2 linked regions of the Alligator mississippiensis genome follow. Each later gene encodes a partner of the first gene's protein in a complex. Links are inferred from orthologs where the notes say so. Each region holds a gene or a part of one and is shown in the gene's direction. Other genes may lie near its edges.

What was found. Proteins that work in one complex are often made in the same cells at the same time.
Region 2: BDP1 (region 1) and BRF2 share a complex: the UniProt entries of both Homo sapiens proteins name them as parts of the TFIIIB complex. The link is inferred for Alligator mississippiensis from reciprocal best matches to the Homo sapiens genes BDP1 and BRF2.

Annotation. Positions count from the first base shown.
Region 1 is NC_081826.1:251,357,682-251,365,816, forward strand, and holds the start of BDP1 (transcription factor TFIIIB component B'' homolog), read left to right. Parts: upstream 1-4,830; 5' UTR 4,831-5,008; coding exon 5,009-5,205; intron 5,206-8,135. UniProt on the Homo sapiens protein: General activator of RNA polymerase III transcription. Requires for transcription from all three types of polymerase III promoters. Requires for transcription of genes with internal promoter elements and with promoter elements upstream of the initiation site.
Region 2 is NC_081830.1:18,638,654-18,646,407, forward strand, and holds the start of BRF2 (transcription factor IIIB 50 kDa subunit), read left to right. Parts: upstream 1-4,522; 5' UTR 4,523-4,591; coding exon 4,592-4,745; intron 4,746-6,763; coding exon 6,764-6,823; intron 6,824-7,047; coding exon 7,048-7,369; intron 7,370-7,754. UniProt on the Homo sapiens protein: General activator of RNA polymerase III transcription. Factor exclusively required for RNA polymerase III transcription of genes with promoter elements upstream of the initiation sites.

The DNA of each region.
Region 1 (8,135 bases):
CTCAACCTGTGGGTCATGACCTGAGAGTGGGTCTAAGAATAAATGAAAAGGTTGCAAACAAACTTTAAAAATAGATTCTCCCTTAAAGGAGAAACATGTGGGCAACTGGCTTTTCCCTTGCAGAGTTCCAGTCTGCAAGGGGGTGCTTGGGGTCCCCCAGGCCCCACTCATACTTCACCCTGTCCCACACACCCACCCCCTACAGTGGGGCTGCGGCCTTGGGGTGGGGGGCAGTAGGCTGAGTGTGAAGGGTGCTGGGTTGGGACTGGCCATCAATGTTTACAAAAGGGCTTTTTGTGTGTGGCATAGGAAGGAAGGAAGATAAAATGGGACAACCAAATTCAGGGGATAAAGATACCAGGGGAGGAGAAGTGAAAGCGGTGCTATATATGGATGACGTGGCATTTTTGGTGAGGGACAGAAGGTCAGTGAGGAGGGTGCTGGAGCATATGGAAGAGTACGGAAGGGCAGCCGGAGCAAGATTAAATAGAGGGAAGAGTAAGATATGGGGAATAGGGAACTGGGAGGGTCTGGAGGAATATGGGTTGCAGGTGGTAGAGAGAGGACAAAAAATATTAGGGATGTTTTGAGAAAGATGGGAAAGGGGAAACAGCATGGGGAGAAGTGCGGGGACGGGTTAGAAAGGTGCTGGGAATACGGGGATGGAGAGGTTTGTCAAAGATGGGGAAGGTAAAGCTAATCAAGTCGGTGATCTCACCGATCCTGCTGTTCGTAGGGTGGGTATACCCTCCATCGTGGAGGCAAGCGAGGAGGATACAAAGGGAATTGTGTGTGTTTTTCTGGGGAAGTAAGGGAGAGAGGGTAGCAGGTAGGGAGCTTTATAAAGCGGGGGAGCTAGAGGGATGGGGTTTTCCAGAGGTGGAAACATTCATATATGGGCACGGGGTAGCGGCATTAGTCAGGGAGGCACGGAGAGGGGAAGGAATAGTGGGGAAATGGGTAAAGTACTGGGGAGGCAGAATTTTGAGGGTATGGGGGGTATTCGGAGAAAGGTGGACAGGCACGTGGGCAGGGAAACCATCACAGCACGTGGATAGGCTGGTGGCATTCGTCAAGGCAAAGGGTTTGGTGAAACGGGATGGAAGGATTACAAAAGGCGAGGGTAATTTTCAACGCAATTAGGGAGGAAGATGGGTTAACGGACGTGGGGAATTTGACATGGGAACAGGTGAGAGAGGTGTGGAGGGGAATAGAAGACGCAAGGTGGAAAGGGTTTCACAGGGAAATTGCGTGGTGTATAGTTAGGTGGGTGTTATCAGTCAGAGAAATATTATACCGATGGAGGCTGGTGAGATCGGCAGAATGCCCGAAGGAGTTCTGTACAAAGGAAGAAACGGTGCATCACGTTTTTTGGGAGTGCGCGTTTGCAAGAAGGGTGTGGGGAAGAGTAGGGAAGTTTCTAAGGGCGATAGGGTGGGCACAGGGGGTGTCCTATGAGAGCGCAGTGTACGGACTGGTGAAACAAGGAGAAAAGCAATGGGAAGCGTGGGTGATTTTGATGGGGATGAGGGTGGCATTATGGAAAGTGAGGTGCTTGTTGGTAGGGAAGGGGGTATGCTTTACACAAAGGGAATGCTTACAGCTGGGGTATTATGAGATTAAGGACTACATAAAGGGAAAGGGAGAAAAGGGCGAAGGGAGTAGGGCATGGCAAGGCGTTCGGTGGCAGGAATTATTCCAGCCGGCCAGGATAGGGTAAAGGTAGGGAAAGAAAAGAAGAAGGGAGAGAGAGGAGGAAAAGAAGAAGCGTTGGGAAGTAGGGAAAGGAAATGCGTCGGGAATCAGGGAAATGGAAAGGTGAAAACGGAAAGTGGGGAAAACAGTACTACTGAAACAAAAGTGAATTGTGTATGCTATAAATAAAGAGGTGTGGAAAATGTGTTAAAGGCAAATAAAAAGAAGGAAAATACGAGACCACAGGGAAAGATTGTGTAAAATATGAGGATGTATTATAAATGTTGAAAGTGTCCCAAGAACTTGTATGAGAAAAGAGCAAAATGTATTGTCTTGGATTGAATTGATGATTATGTATAAAGAGGATCTGGTGATCCAATTGTGAAGAAATTGTGGTGGAGAAAGAAGATGGGAAGTTCCCACGATCGTGTCATGTATTATTGATTCATGTATGATATTGTTTATTGTGAGATATTGACAAAAGGAGGCGGTGTGGAGAGAGAAATATATATTTTATATTTTCTTAATAAAAAAAAAAAAATGTTTACAAATGGGTCCTGATACAAAAAGGTTGAGAACTACTGGCCTAGAGCTATTGCTGCCACTGCCAGGGAATTAGTATTAAACTTCAGGTGGAGCAGGAATCAAAGGGGTTGGGGGGGAGGATGCACTTGTACCGTGCTGGGTTCATGCCTGTATCCCAAGACTTAAAGTCAAACGGTGAGAGATGGCAACTCCAAAATAGATATCCAACGTTTCCTATTCTTGGAATATAGAAAAGTGGCGCTGTAACACTGGCTGACCCAGACTTTGAAGCAAAGTGGAATCTCATTGCCCAGAATTTAGGTTTTCAGAGGCAAATACTTTTTTATCGCTCAAGGAATTCAGTGTATCAACATTTTAAAAAGCTATATTTAATCATAAAAATATATATTTTGCAACCCAATACATTAAACTAGGAGTCCATCTTGCAACATTGGAACAACAATATCCGGACCTTGAATTGTTGAAGGTTCTTAATGAAAGAAAGAGAACTGTTCAGATAAAAATAATTCTTTATATACTTATTCCATTTATGCATAAATAGCCATCTTACTCCTAAAGCATCCTCAAAGAGCATCCCACAATATACAAGCAAGTTACACCACTGTAGGGTGGGGAAATATGAGAAAGGGAATATTTTGGCAAGAAATACAGGGCCAAAACACCTGTGAAGATTTTACAAAAACATGCATAATTTCTAATGTTTACAATATGCCTCCAAGGTCTGAGTTGTAATGGTTTATCCAAACCTGACCTTACCTGGTAAATAACACAGGTCTCTAATATCTCTGAGGCTTTGAACTGAGTTGGAGGCTGGCAACACTTTCTCAAGCTTTAGCCACAAAATAGGTAACACCCATCTTGAGAAGCCAAAACAAAACACTAGTTGCTAACTGTAGCTGTAGAGTGTAGATGTTGAAACATACTTGTTCATGTTTTCTGAGCTTAACTGTGCCCTTGAGATTAGCTGTCTCTGGTGGGGCTTCAGTTTGGCTCCAGCAGGGACCCAGGTTTTCTGTTTGCTGCAGAAAAATGTGGATTTCTCTTTAAAGGAGAAAATTGCAAGAAAACGCAGGTTCCCTTTGGATGGGGTGGGAGAGTGATCAGGCCCAGGGGGCTCCAGTGCATGTGTGCACACATGCACATGGCAGCCAGGCAGTGGTAGATAGCAGCTCCCGCAACTCCCTCTAGGTAAGTCAAGGAGAGGGGTGGAGGCACAGGCAGGAGGGCATGTGCCTGCGAGATTTCTGTAGCCACAGCGGGGCACAGGACTGCAACGGGGCTCGACCAGCTCCAGGCAGGAGCCACCTCCGTGGCCCAGTGTGGGAGGGAGTGCTGTCATGGCTGCCAAGCAGCCCCTGGTTTGCCTGGCAGCAGCGGGGAGCACAACTCCATGCTGCTGCTGCTGGCACACACACATCACCATGGCATGGCTTCCTCCTGCATTGGGTCCCATCCACTGGGCCACTGGGGCAGCTTCTAGCCAGAGCTGGTCTGGCCCTGCTGCATCCCTATGCCCCACTGTGGGTGCAGAAATCTTGGGTGCCATCCTGCTGTGTTGCCTTGGCCTCCACACCTCTGTGTGCCATGTTGCCTGTGGGCTGCCCCACACCTTCCCCATACACGCACTTCCCTCCTCACACTGGGGGTGGGAAGGCAGTGAGTCAGGAGAGGCACTGGCAGGGCTGGGGGTTGTGGGTCAGAAGTGAGAGGTACCAGCAGGGCCAGGGGGCTGTCAGTTGAGAGTGAGGGGCACCAGCAAGACTGGTGGGGCTGTGGCTTGGGCATATGGGGCAATGGAACGGGCATGGCACCAGCATATCAGGGCTGCTTAGTGCTACAAAGCAGTGGAGATGGGTGGACAGCTGCAGCTGGACCTTTGTCCTGGTGAGCAGAGGGGGCTGGGGGAGCTGATTTTTGTCCATGATAAAAACCCAAGCTCAAATGCTAAAATGTATAGGTATTTAGAATTTATTTTATTATAATGATTGAGGCACTGGTAGGCTTCCAACTTGCTTTAAAATTGTAAACATAGCAATTAAACATTGTGTTCAATGTACATGTACAGTTACCTGTATACATAGTGGCGTTTCATTTTAATTGTGGATAAACGTGGATTTGGGGTTTTTTATTCAGAGAATTTCCGAGAGGGGTTTTAAATCAGAGAGTTTCTGACTGTTGAACAGTGAAAACCAGGATCCCTGATGATTAGCTACATTAATCTGACCTTGCCCGGCCTCCTTCGTGAAAGGCCACAGAACGGGGTAACAGGGGTTAAGGGCGACCTGGGGGACATTGCCGGGTGTTTTGCACAAGCAAGGGGGATTGTCACTGCACTAAACCGGGCCTTCGGGAGGAAGCGCCCTGCCCTGCCCGTGCCAGGGCCGGATCCGAGCCTTGTCCTCAGCGCTCCCACAAGCCACACGTAGCCCACAGGTCTCGCCCACGAACAAGAACAAAGTCTCGCAAGAGTTCACCGCCAGCTGCAGCAAATCCCTACGGGGTCTGGCGCTAGAACGCCCCTCCCTTTTACGTCATCCCCCGGCAGGCGGTTGCAGTCGCGCATTGATGATGCGTGATGCGCCAGGCCCCTCGCAGGGAGGGCGGGGCACTGGGCGCGGTGTTCGGCGTTTGACATGAGGCGGCCCCGCCGGCCGCCGCGGGGGTCGCTGGGAGCAGGCGCGTTGCTGCCCGTGGGCCTGTGACCGTCGGGGCCGGGGCCGGGGCCGGGGCCAGGGCCGCCCGGCTCCCCGCCCGCTCCGCTGGCGCCATGTTCCGCCGCGCGCGGCTCAGCGTGAGGCCCAACGTGAGACCCGGTGGCAGAGGCGGCGGCGGCCCGAGCCCCGCGGCTGCCCCTGGAAGTCCGGGCCCCGCCTGCGCGCCGGGCGGGGAGGAGTCGCAGCCCGGCCCTGGCCCCGCTGCAGCCCCGGGGCCGCCCGGCCAGGATGAGCCGCAGGCGGCGAGCGGGTGAGTCCGGCGGGGCGCGGCGGGGCGGCGGTCGCACGTACCTGCCTGCGGGCAGGGCTCAAGGTGTCGTCCGGGGAGCAGCCGCCCTCGACCTGGCGTCTGGGGGCTCCTGGATGAAACCCCCCCTGGAAAACCACGTTTATTTTTATTCATGGTGCCTCGGTACCTGGGGCGTCACTGGGGCTCTTGGCCGTGCTGCCCAAGCCGCTGGTAAAACAGGTGCAAGGCAGCCCTGCCAAGGAGACAGGGAGTTGCTTTCTTGCCCCATCCTTGCCAGCCCTTGTACTGCTTCTGAGGTACACGCCACCTCGGCGTGGGCTAGTGGCGGGGGCAGCTGGTATGTTTGGCACGTGAGCCCTGGGCACCAAATTGAAGGAGGTGCCAGCAGTGACAGGCTGGGTGGCAGGCAGTGTTAGCTTAGAGGTTTGGGTCTGTGGCAACTGCGAGGAAAGGTGCTGCCTAATGGAGGGCTAACACATGCCAGTGGTGACAGTGGTGGCTGGTTATTGGAGTGGCATCATCTCCTATTTTGAATTTAACTTGTGGCATGTTTGCCAAAGAGGCTGGCTGCTGCTGAAGTAGACTGGTGATGGCGCATGGCTTTATTGTTTGACATGGAAATGTATGGGGGAGGGTACCTTTGGGAGAAAATCCCTAGCCTTTTTGCCAAATCTGTTTGGATATTTGTGAAGCAGAATAGGAATATAAAACCGTAAGAATTGCCATGTGCTGGGTTAGCCCTTAGGTCTCTTTTGCCCAGTCTCTTGTGTCTCACAGTGGCAGAGAGCAGATACTGAAAAGGAGAGTGAACTGGGTATGACTAAGGGTTTTTTCTAGAGGTGCACTGATACATCAGTCCCATATCATATTGGCACCGATAAAAGGAAAATTGACATCATCAGCAGTTGGCTTTTTTTGGCTGTTGTGGCTGATAATTTTGCCAGTAAATGCTGTGTATGCGCGCGTGCATCTACAGCGCAGCATGCAGGTGGCTAGGAGTGCAGCCCGGTAGCGTGGAGAGCAGTGTCTGACTGGTAAGTCTGTTGCGGGGGGAAGGGGCATAGGGGAGGTAGACCAAGGCTTCTGTGGTGAGGGAGGGAGTGGGGCTGGTGCTAGGGCAGGCACTGCACAGCTGGAGCAGGGCGGGGCATGGGATGGAGTCATGAGCGGCTTGTCCAGGGGATGTTGGGGGGACGGGACAGGGGACGAGCGGCTCCTGCCAAGCAGCTCCTGCCATTGTATGCACCCAGAAGGGCATGGGGGCCGTGCACCTCCTGGATCCGTGTGTGGGGTGAGGGCAGTGCCAGGCTCTTCCTGGCAGGGGGGTTGGGCTGGGGCTGTGCTTGGGGTAGGCATCAGCGGCGCTGGGAGGGGAGGCTATGGCGGGGGTTACAGCCACCCCAAAATTCTCTGTAGCCCCACTCCCAGTGCTACCGCCACCTGACCTGAGTGCAGCCTGGCCCAGCACCTCCAGGAAGGACCTGGCACTGCCCCTGGCTGCAGCCCACAGCGGCAGCCTGCCCTTGCCCTGCAGGCAAATCTGGGGGGCACATGTACCCCATACCCTCCTGGGGTGCCTGCACCCCCTGGATGAGCCATGGATCCATCCTACACCACACCCTGCCCTGGCTGTTCAATGCCTGTCCCTACCCCAGGTCCAGAGCCAGTCCCATTCCCTTCCTCACCGCAGGGGCCTTGGTCTGCCCCCGCTACCTCTTTCCTCCCACCTTGCCCCTTCCCCCACAACAGACTCGCCAGCCAGATGCTGCTCTCCAAGCTGCCGGACTGCATATTGGCAATTGGATTGGTATCAGCTGATATGGCTCATTAAAAATCAGCCATTGGTATCGCCCCCAAAAATCTCTATCAGTGTACACCTAGTTTTTCCCCTGTTTCTTTATTGCTTGGAGCTTCCAGCATTTAAGATCTAGGAAGTTCTGATTCAGAGGCTGCATCCCTAACTCCCATGTTGAATAGCTACCGATGCCCCTTTTCTCCAAGAATTTGTCCAATCCCTTTTTGAATCAAAATGACAGGAGACAGGAGCAGCAGGACCCGGGGGAAGCCACGGCAGGCTCCTGCAACAGCAGGGCCCATCCAGCCCTGCTACCCTGCCGGAAGTCCCTGCGTAGCAGGGGCTTATGGCCTAGGACTGTTTGTGCCTCCCTGCACCGGGAGTGGGAAATTCAGGTAAGAAGAGTGGTGGGGCCTGCACTGTTCAATATCTTCATCAGCGACTTGGACAAGGGGGTGGAAAGCACCTTGTTCAAATTTGTGGATGACACTAAGATGTGGGGAGAAGTGGGCATGCTGGAGGAGAGGGACAGGCTGCAACTCGATCTAGACAGGTTACAGGGGTGGGCGGATGAGAACAGGATGGGTTTCAATACTGACAAGTGCAAGATATTGCACCTGGGGAGGAAGAACCAGCAGCAGACCTACAGGCTGGGGAACTCCCTTCTCATCAGCACAGAGGCAGAAAAGGATCTTGGAGTCATTATCGATTCCAAAATGAACATGGGCCGCCAATGTGGGGAGACCCTCAGGAAGGCTAACCGCACCTTTTCATGCATCCACAGATGCATCACAGGCAGGTCCAAGGAAGTGATCCTCCCCCTCTATGTGACACTGGTCAGGCTGCAGTTGGAGTACTGTGTCCAGTTCTGGGCGCCGCACTTCAGGAGGGATGTGGCTAGCATTGAGAGGGTCCAGAGGAGGGCCACTCGCATGATCAGGGGGCAGCAAGACAGGCCCTACAAGCAGAGGCTACGGGACCTGAACCTGTTCAGCCTCCACAAGAGAAGGCTGAGAGGGGATCTGGTGGCTTTCTACAAACTGGCCAAGGGGGACCAGCAGGCTATGGGAGAGTCCCTGTTCCCCCTGAGCACTACCGGGAGTAACAAGGAATAACGGCCATAAGTTGACTGAGA
Region 2 (7,754 bases), on another chromosome or scaffold:
TAGCAGCTTGTTTTGGAGCAGATGGCCTAAGTTAAGGGGTAAGCTTTACTGTTTTGGACATGCCTTTAATTGAATCTGGAGCATTAGGTTTTTTAAACAGGATCTTTGTTAGCAGCCTTTTAAAGTCTAGATGGTACTAGATAGCTTCCATTGAAAACTGGCTAATGCTGGGTTTTGTGCCTTGAAATAATGAGGAAGATGGCACACTCTTTTTAAAATTGCCTCTTTGTGCCTTAGTCCCTCTGCAGAGGGGAATTTTTTCCATACCTCATAAAAAATAGATGTATCCTTGGGACTTGAAGCTGGAGCTTTATAACAGGTATTTTTTTCAGTGCCTTGGACAAGTCGAGGAACCACCTGTAACTTTGAAATGGGTGTTGTGTATAATAATACATGTTTGATGTTGGTGTTCAGAATGGGTTTAAGTGAAACTAACAGAAGTGACTGTTAGTCTCGTTTAAGAGATCTGGTATGTGGGTACTATTCCTCCTGGAGCAGCTGGAGCCCTTGTATAATGCTGCATCTGCTGCTTTAGAGAGAATTATTTGAGGACATTAATAGTTGTCCAGAAGTTGTGTTCTGCCCCCTGTCCCCTCCTCCCCCCCAGTCTGGGAAGATTTTAAACCCTGAAGTTATTTCACAGTCCGGTACTTGGTTTATGTTAATCCATTTGAGGCGAGAATATTGTGCTGAAGGTGGGATCACTGAATTTTGAGAGGAATTAAGTGTGTGCTATGAAGTGTGTGCACTGAAGCTTGGTTTCCTTTGATGTTGTAGTACATCTCATTGAGGTTTCAGGGTCCTCTGGGAACGGTTGTCCTTTAAAAGCCACACTTGTGCTTTCTTAGCTGTGTAGCTGTTGCACAATTCTCACGTACCTCAAATCTGTCAGTGGCAATAGCTTTTTGAAGTGTCCAGGCAAAAGGGGATTGGTACTTCTATGTTAAGCAGGGTGCATTTCAAGGCAAAGTGAGTGTACAGAGCCTTGATAGATGAGCTTCACTGAAGGTCAATTACTGAAGGATCTGAATGTATTTTTTTTATGTTTTTTAAGGTTTTGCTCTGTTAGTGTGTGTACCTATTATAGAGGTCTTCTTTAATTGACATTTTTCATGGAACACTAAAATAAAAGCGTTTTAAATTCCATGGCTGAGCACTCTTCTGCTTTTCATTGGACCCTAATAAATTAAAATAAGGTTGGGGGTGAGGGGGGCACTGCTGCTTCATGGACAAATCACTTAAAAGTACCTTAGGGCTGCAGGGGCCCTTGGGATTGGAATCTGCATTGCTGGAAGGTAAGTTCCATTTGGTGCGGTTCCTGAAGCTGTCAAGAAGAGAAGATTTTTCAACCTGGTTTTACTCTGAAAATAGATTGCAATAAACCAGTCTGGCAGCTGAGATGCCAAATGCTGGGAATAGATGGCATTGGCTGGTGTAAAGCAGGTGTATGACACTGGCCTGCACTGAAGGACAAATGTCCTAGGGAAAGGAGCTGGTTAGGCTCCATGGAGCCCCATCTGTGGCTCTGGATTTAATAGTAGGATACCACCTGTGCCTGATCAGGAGATAATCTAGTCCAGCTCCTGTAGCAAGGCAGGAGACCTATAGATTTACAGCCCCCCTCCTCCTGCCCTTGTAATATTCAAAAATAAAAATTGAAAAAAGGATGTTTGGTCCTGATTTCCAAAATGTCAGTCCAACAAACAAGACTGCAGAGGCTCAGTGGACAGCCTGTTTCACTCCTTTGCTATCCTTGCAGTTAGAAAGTATTTCTTAACATATAATTTTGTTGCAAACACAGCTATCTGCTGCTTGCCCTTCCCTCATGGGATGGGAGTCACAGCAGTAGGAACAACCTGGCAGCATAGATGACTGTTTCAGTTGCCTTCAACTGTTCCTCAGGTCATCCGTGGGCATGTTTCTCCTGGACTCGCGAGTTCACCTGTACTTTCTACATTTGGTAGTCAAAATAGCAGAGTGCTCCAGCTGAAGTGGTGCCTGAGTTGAGTGGAACATGCTCTGCATGTTTCTTGCCTCAGGCTGGGACTTTTGTGTCATATTGATTAAAAATGGAGTTGTCTATTACACTGCCCTACAAGGGCTTTTTTGCTTACCGCTGCCTGAGGTAGTTGTGGTCTGTTTTGTACTGATGTATCCTTGCTAAATGTAGCAGTTAGTGCACTTAGCACTTCTCAGTATTGAACTTTGTAGTGCTGATTTCATATCGTCTCCCCTGTGTGTCCATTCCAGCTTTGCCGTCTGATTCTGCACCGCTGGGGCCTCCTCCCACTTTCGGCTGGCTGCGCAGTGTTTGCCATGAAAGCCAATGGGACAGTTCTCCCTCCTCCAAATGTAGCATGTTACACTTAATGATGGCTTGCTTGCATGCATATGGGGCTGTCTGTCTCTGCAGACTGAACAACAGTACCTGGACAAGTTTTTTAAAATGTTAAGCAAGTATGAACTACAAACCAACCTGCTTTCTGGGACTTGCCCGATTTATTTGGACTTGGCTTAAAGCAGTGGGAGTTGTCTGGCCACAGTGACTACATGGTGAACAACAGCCTGTAAGGCAAAGAAACTTGATCCACCAGTGCAGCAGAATGAGAAACGAGCATCTATAGCTGTCAGGTATGTGTTGGATCTCTATCGTCCAAAAGCTTCCATTACAACAAAGGCATCCAGCCGTTGTAGCAACTTAAAAGTCAGTGCAGTTTAAATGCCCTGCACATGCGCGTAGTCTTGGGACCACTGGACTGAAATCTGGCTCCACTGGGAATAACTGCATGCTGCTATGGCAGCCCCTGCTCCATTCACGTTTAGTTTAAAACGAGAGGTCAAGGTAATCATTAACATCCTTCAGCATCCAGTCTGAGTGGTTGCCTGCCCTTCAGGGCTATCAGCAATGACTCTCCAGGGAGCTTTAAAGCCAGCGCTCAATAGAAATTGACTGGCATTGTCAAGCGCTTCACTCTGGTGTATGGCTCTAATGAGCTATTGTAGAGAGAGGTAAGGAAATAACTCGGGTGGTTATTTCCTCCTGTCGGCTTTGGAGATAGATTAAAGAAAGAAAATTGAAGGTGGCTGCTTTCCTGGATGTAGTTCTTTCAATTCATATAACAGAAGTAAAATGAAAAGGATAAAGTTGCTGGCACTTTCCAATAGATATAGCATGTGTTGCAAAAAGAGAAAACCTTGCTGGCTGGATCAGCTGTCCTTCTCATTTCCAAAAGACTCCCCCTCAGGACTGCTGCTTTGTGGAGAAAACAAATGTTGATTAGCATTGCAGGGGCAATCTTATGAAGTTAGACTGGGGCCTGAAGCTCCCGTTTGGTACAAGGTTTTTGCTAACATCAGGACTTGCTACAAGACGCAAAGAAAACCCCTATGGGCTACACACACTGGGTTTTCAACTATCATCCTGAATTTAAAATGATGATCAATAAGCAAGTACAGCCTATATTAAAAAAAATAACTAGACAATCAGAGAACCAAGCCTAGCCCAACCCTCCCTCCTAGCTTTCAGACTGTTCCTTATCACACCCAGCTCATCCTCACCCATGAAATTCCTGCTGATTAGGAGGCACGTACTGGGACCCTATGCTCTCTTGAGGAAAAATGCAAAGCTAAGCAACTAATCTCAACTGCCCCACATAGCAGCACCCTGTCCTACCCCACCACCCACTGCCCCTCGCACTGCCAACAAAACATGGATCAAGCTGGCTGTGGTATAAACTAACCCGGTACACCAGCGGGACCCTTCTGGAAACTGAGTGAAACTAGACACAACCTACTTCCAAGAATGAACGGTCAGAAACGAAGGGACTGCACTACTAGTGCATTTTTTAAAAATAGAAAACCACTTCCTTTCTGAACTTCAAGTCCTGATGCTCAAGGGAAGTTTATACATTGCTTTCAGAAGTTGGGTTTTGGGGTGGGGGGAATAATAATTAGCTCGCTAGACTTGAGAGCCAGACTTAACACAGATGTTGACTTTGTGGTTCACTGTTATCTAAGTCAGGGGTGGGCAATTATTTTGGACGGAGGGCCGCTTAGTGAGTTTTGGCCAGCCACTGAGGGCCGCATGACAGGCAGCTGGGGGCAGATAAATATTAATTTTCTAAATTGTTGTAGGGGCTAGGATGGGCTGGTGGCCGCACCCCTGACCTAGGCGATATCCCCCGCTCAGTGCTGTGCAAGTGATAGCAGCTCTCTTGAACGGGCATGCTCTTCCATTGATCTCTTCTGCATTTTACCTGCCAGCTACCTAATAGTGTCTCATACCCTATATCTTCAAGAGGAGGCTGGATAGATATCTGGCTGGGGTATTATGATCCTGGCACTGCCCTGGAGCAGCGTACGCACAGGATCTCCCAAGATGGGGGGGATCCAGGCAGACCAAGCAGGACGCGCTTGGGGCCGGGGCCAGAGGCGAGGGCGGAACGCGCGGGAACTGGGGTCGCGGCTGCTGGCCGGAGCCACTTCCGGGAGGGGCCGGAAGTGGGCGGGCGGGTGCAGCGCTGCGCGGGGTCCCCCGCGCCGCATCCGGTGCGCTCCGCTCCGCTCGGCCGGCGGCGGCGGCGGCGGCGGCATGTCCGGCCGGCAGACGTGCCCGGGCTGCGGCTCCACTGACCTGGTGCAGGACGCGCTGTACGCGCAGAGCCAGCTGGTGTGCACCGCCTGCGGCCGCGTCCTCGCCGAGGGGCTGCTCACCACCACCTTCGCTGAGGAGCAGCAGCTGCAAGGTAGGGCGGGCGCGCGCGCGCGGGGAGCAGAAAGCGGAGCAGCAAATCAGGCAGGGGAAGGGCGTCATCGTGCCACTCAGGGAGGGAAAGACTGACTTGTGCAGGAAGGGGGAAGAAGGGAATCTTCTCCGGGTGTCTTGTGAGAAACAGTTGCCTGTCACCCACAACTTCCCGCGGGCTCGCGCTGCTGCATGGGCCTGCTGTTTCTCTGGGCTTTGTCCAACACGCAGCGATGCCGCCGCAGCCGTATGCCCATCAGCAAGCAAATGCCAACTTGCAAATACCCGCGTGGCTGTGGCCCGTGGGGAGTTGGTGGTTTTTTTGAGCAGGTAACAGCGAGAGCTTCAGCTGGAGCAGTGCAAGAAAAATCAGCTGAAAACTGTTGTGTTTTACCTAAATGGAAACTTCCCAACTTCTGTTCTGAGCCAAACCTTGGAGGAATCTTTAACCAAAAATATCTACTGCTGGAAAGCTAACTGTTTTGTTTGTAGTTCAAAAAATGGCAGGACTGGTCGGTGTCACGGCCTGGTTCGTGGTGCTGTGATGTTGTGTTGTACGGGCTGGGCAGTGACCCTCTCAGCAGCACAGAGCGGACAGGGATCTCGGAGTCATCGTGGAGTCCAAAAGGAACACGAGTCGTCAGTATGTCGAAATCATCAGCAAGGCTAACCGCACTTTATCGTGCATCAGCAGATGCATGACAGATAGATCCAAGGAGGCGATACTTCCCATCTATGCGGCATTGGTCAGACCACTGTTGGAGTACTGCATCCAGTTTTGGGCACCGTGCTTCAGGAAGGATGTTGATAGACTCGAGAGGGTCTAGAGAGGGGCCGCTCATATGGCTAGGGGGCTTACAGGCCGAGCCCTATGAGGAGAGACTGAGGGACCTGGACCTCTTCAGCCTCCGCAAGAGAAGGCGGAGAGGTGATCTTGTGGCCACCTACACATTCATTAGGGGGGCGCAGCAAGGGATCGGAGATGCTCTGTTCCCCAGTAAAAAGGAACAATGGTCACAAACTGACAGAGAGCAGATTTAGGCTAGACATCAGGAAAAACTTCTTCATGGTAAGGGTGGCCAAAATCTGGAATGGGCTTCCAAGGGGGGTGGTGCTCTCCTCTGCCCTGGGGGTCTTCAAGACAAGGCTGGATAGGCATCTGGCTGGGGGCATCTGACCCCAGCACTCTTTCCTGCCCAGGGCACGGGGTCAGACTCGGTGATCTGTTGAGGTCCTTTCCGACCCGAGCATCTAGGACTCTATGCCCATGTTGTGACTGGCTTCTCAAACTGGTTTTAGTAAAAATCTATAGGGAAAAACATCCTGTGGGTCCTTACATATGGCTTTACCGTACACACAACTTTGATATATGTTTTTTTTGTTGGGTTTTTTTTAGAAAGCTCAGTCAGTTTGGACATGTTCTTTTAAAGTATCTGTGGTCAAGTCTCAGGGGCTCTCCTTTTTTCCCTCTAGACTAACCCATGTTTGCTAGTTTTAATTCAGCGCCTATAACACGTCGGACTGTGAGCAGGCTACCACTGTATAGATGGGTGCAGGCTGAATGGAATCAGAGCTGTAGCTTTCCTGCTGTCAGCTGTCCCCCTGGCCAAGGAAATACAACCCCAAATGCATTTGTAGTATGGGGTCTCAAATGTGAAGGCCTATTTGGCAGCAGTGAAATTCAGCATAAGTTGGTGATCTGCTTTACTGTACTATATCACTCCCAGCATATAAATAGGTCTGGGATTGCACTGTTTGCTGGGATCTCTTTGGCGAGGTGCAGAAGAGAAGGAGTCAGGTTGACTCAACTCCTTTTCCACCCTATCCTATCAGTTCAGGGCTGAGTTGTATTGTCAGGGAGCTGGTGAAGGGAATAGGTGCTGCTGGTGCCGCCTTCGGAGATGTGAAGAGAATAGCCCCCCCAGTGCTTCGCTTTCCATCCCTATTTGTCTGGCACTAACTTTGGACCTTGTCTTCTACTCACTGATGTGACTGCTTTGCCTGATGCTTGTCTTGCAGAGGTGACATACTCATGGAGCACGGGCCAGAAGGAGCAGCTGAGCCGCTGTGAACAGCGAGGTGAGAACTGGTTCCTGGTTTTGAGACATGTGGGACTTGGTGTCATGTTCCTGCCAGGGGGAAGCTGCCATGTGAATTGCACTTCTGTTTCTCGCTCAGCTGAGAAGCTCCCCTGGTTCTAGGCCTGGCAGTGCCAGGTGGCCTTTAGCTGACATCTGGCCTGGGCTGAAGGAGCTAGAGAGACCCTTTTCATGCAGATGCTGACAGGGTGCGCACTTTTGCAGGGATCAAGCGTGTCCAGGATCTGTGCAAAGTCCTCCAGCTCCCACCTGTGTTTGAAGAGACAGCTGTGTCTTATTTCCAGCGTGCAATCAAGCACCCCTCTTTCCACTTAGTCAGCTTGGAGAAGAAGGAGGTTCTGGTGGGTTGCTGCGTCTGTGTGACCTGCCGGCAGCACAACTGGCCTGTGACCATGGGAACGATTTGCTCCCTGCTGTATGCGGACAAGGAACTGTTTACCAGTGTGTACCTGCATGTCTTGAAGGAGCTGGAGCTGGATGTGCCTGCCCTGAGCCTGATGGATCTGGTGAAAACGCATCTCAATGGGTAATGGAACTGACACCCTCCTTCCTGCAGGATCCATGGGGCTTGGGAATCCCACATGGCTGGACACCCCTCGAGTCGCCTTTTGGGTACAAGGCAGGACCTGTGCATGCAATGGGCAATGCCACCTGGGCTGAGAGTACCAAGGGAGCCCTGGTTCCTATGGGATGCATTCCCTGACACTCACCGTGGCACAGCAGAGGGCTCTCTCTGCAGAGCTCCACTTTGCTTATTTGCTTTGTGTCAAAGAGAAGGCTGGGCCAGTTCCTCTGAGACTAGACCCTGGGCCCTGTGTCACAGCTGGTGCCCAGATGCTGTCATGGGAATCTATCCCCCAAGTACTTAGGTTCACAAGGGCTGAATTACAGCTAAAAACTGTCCCCTGCCC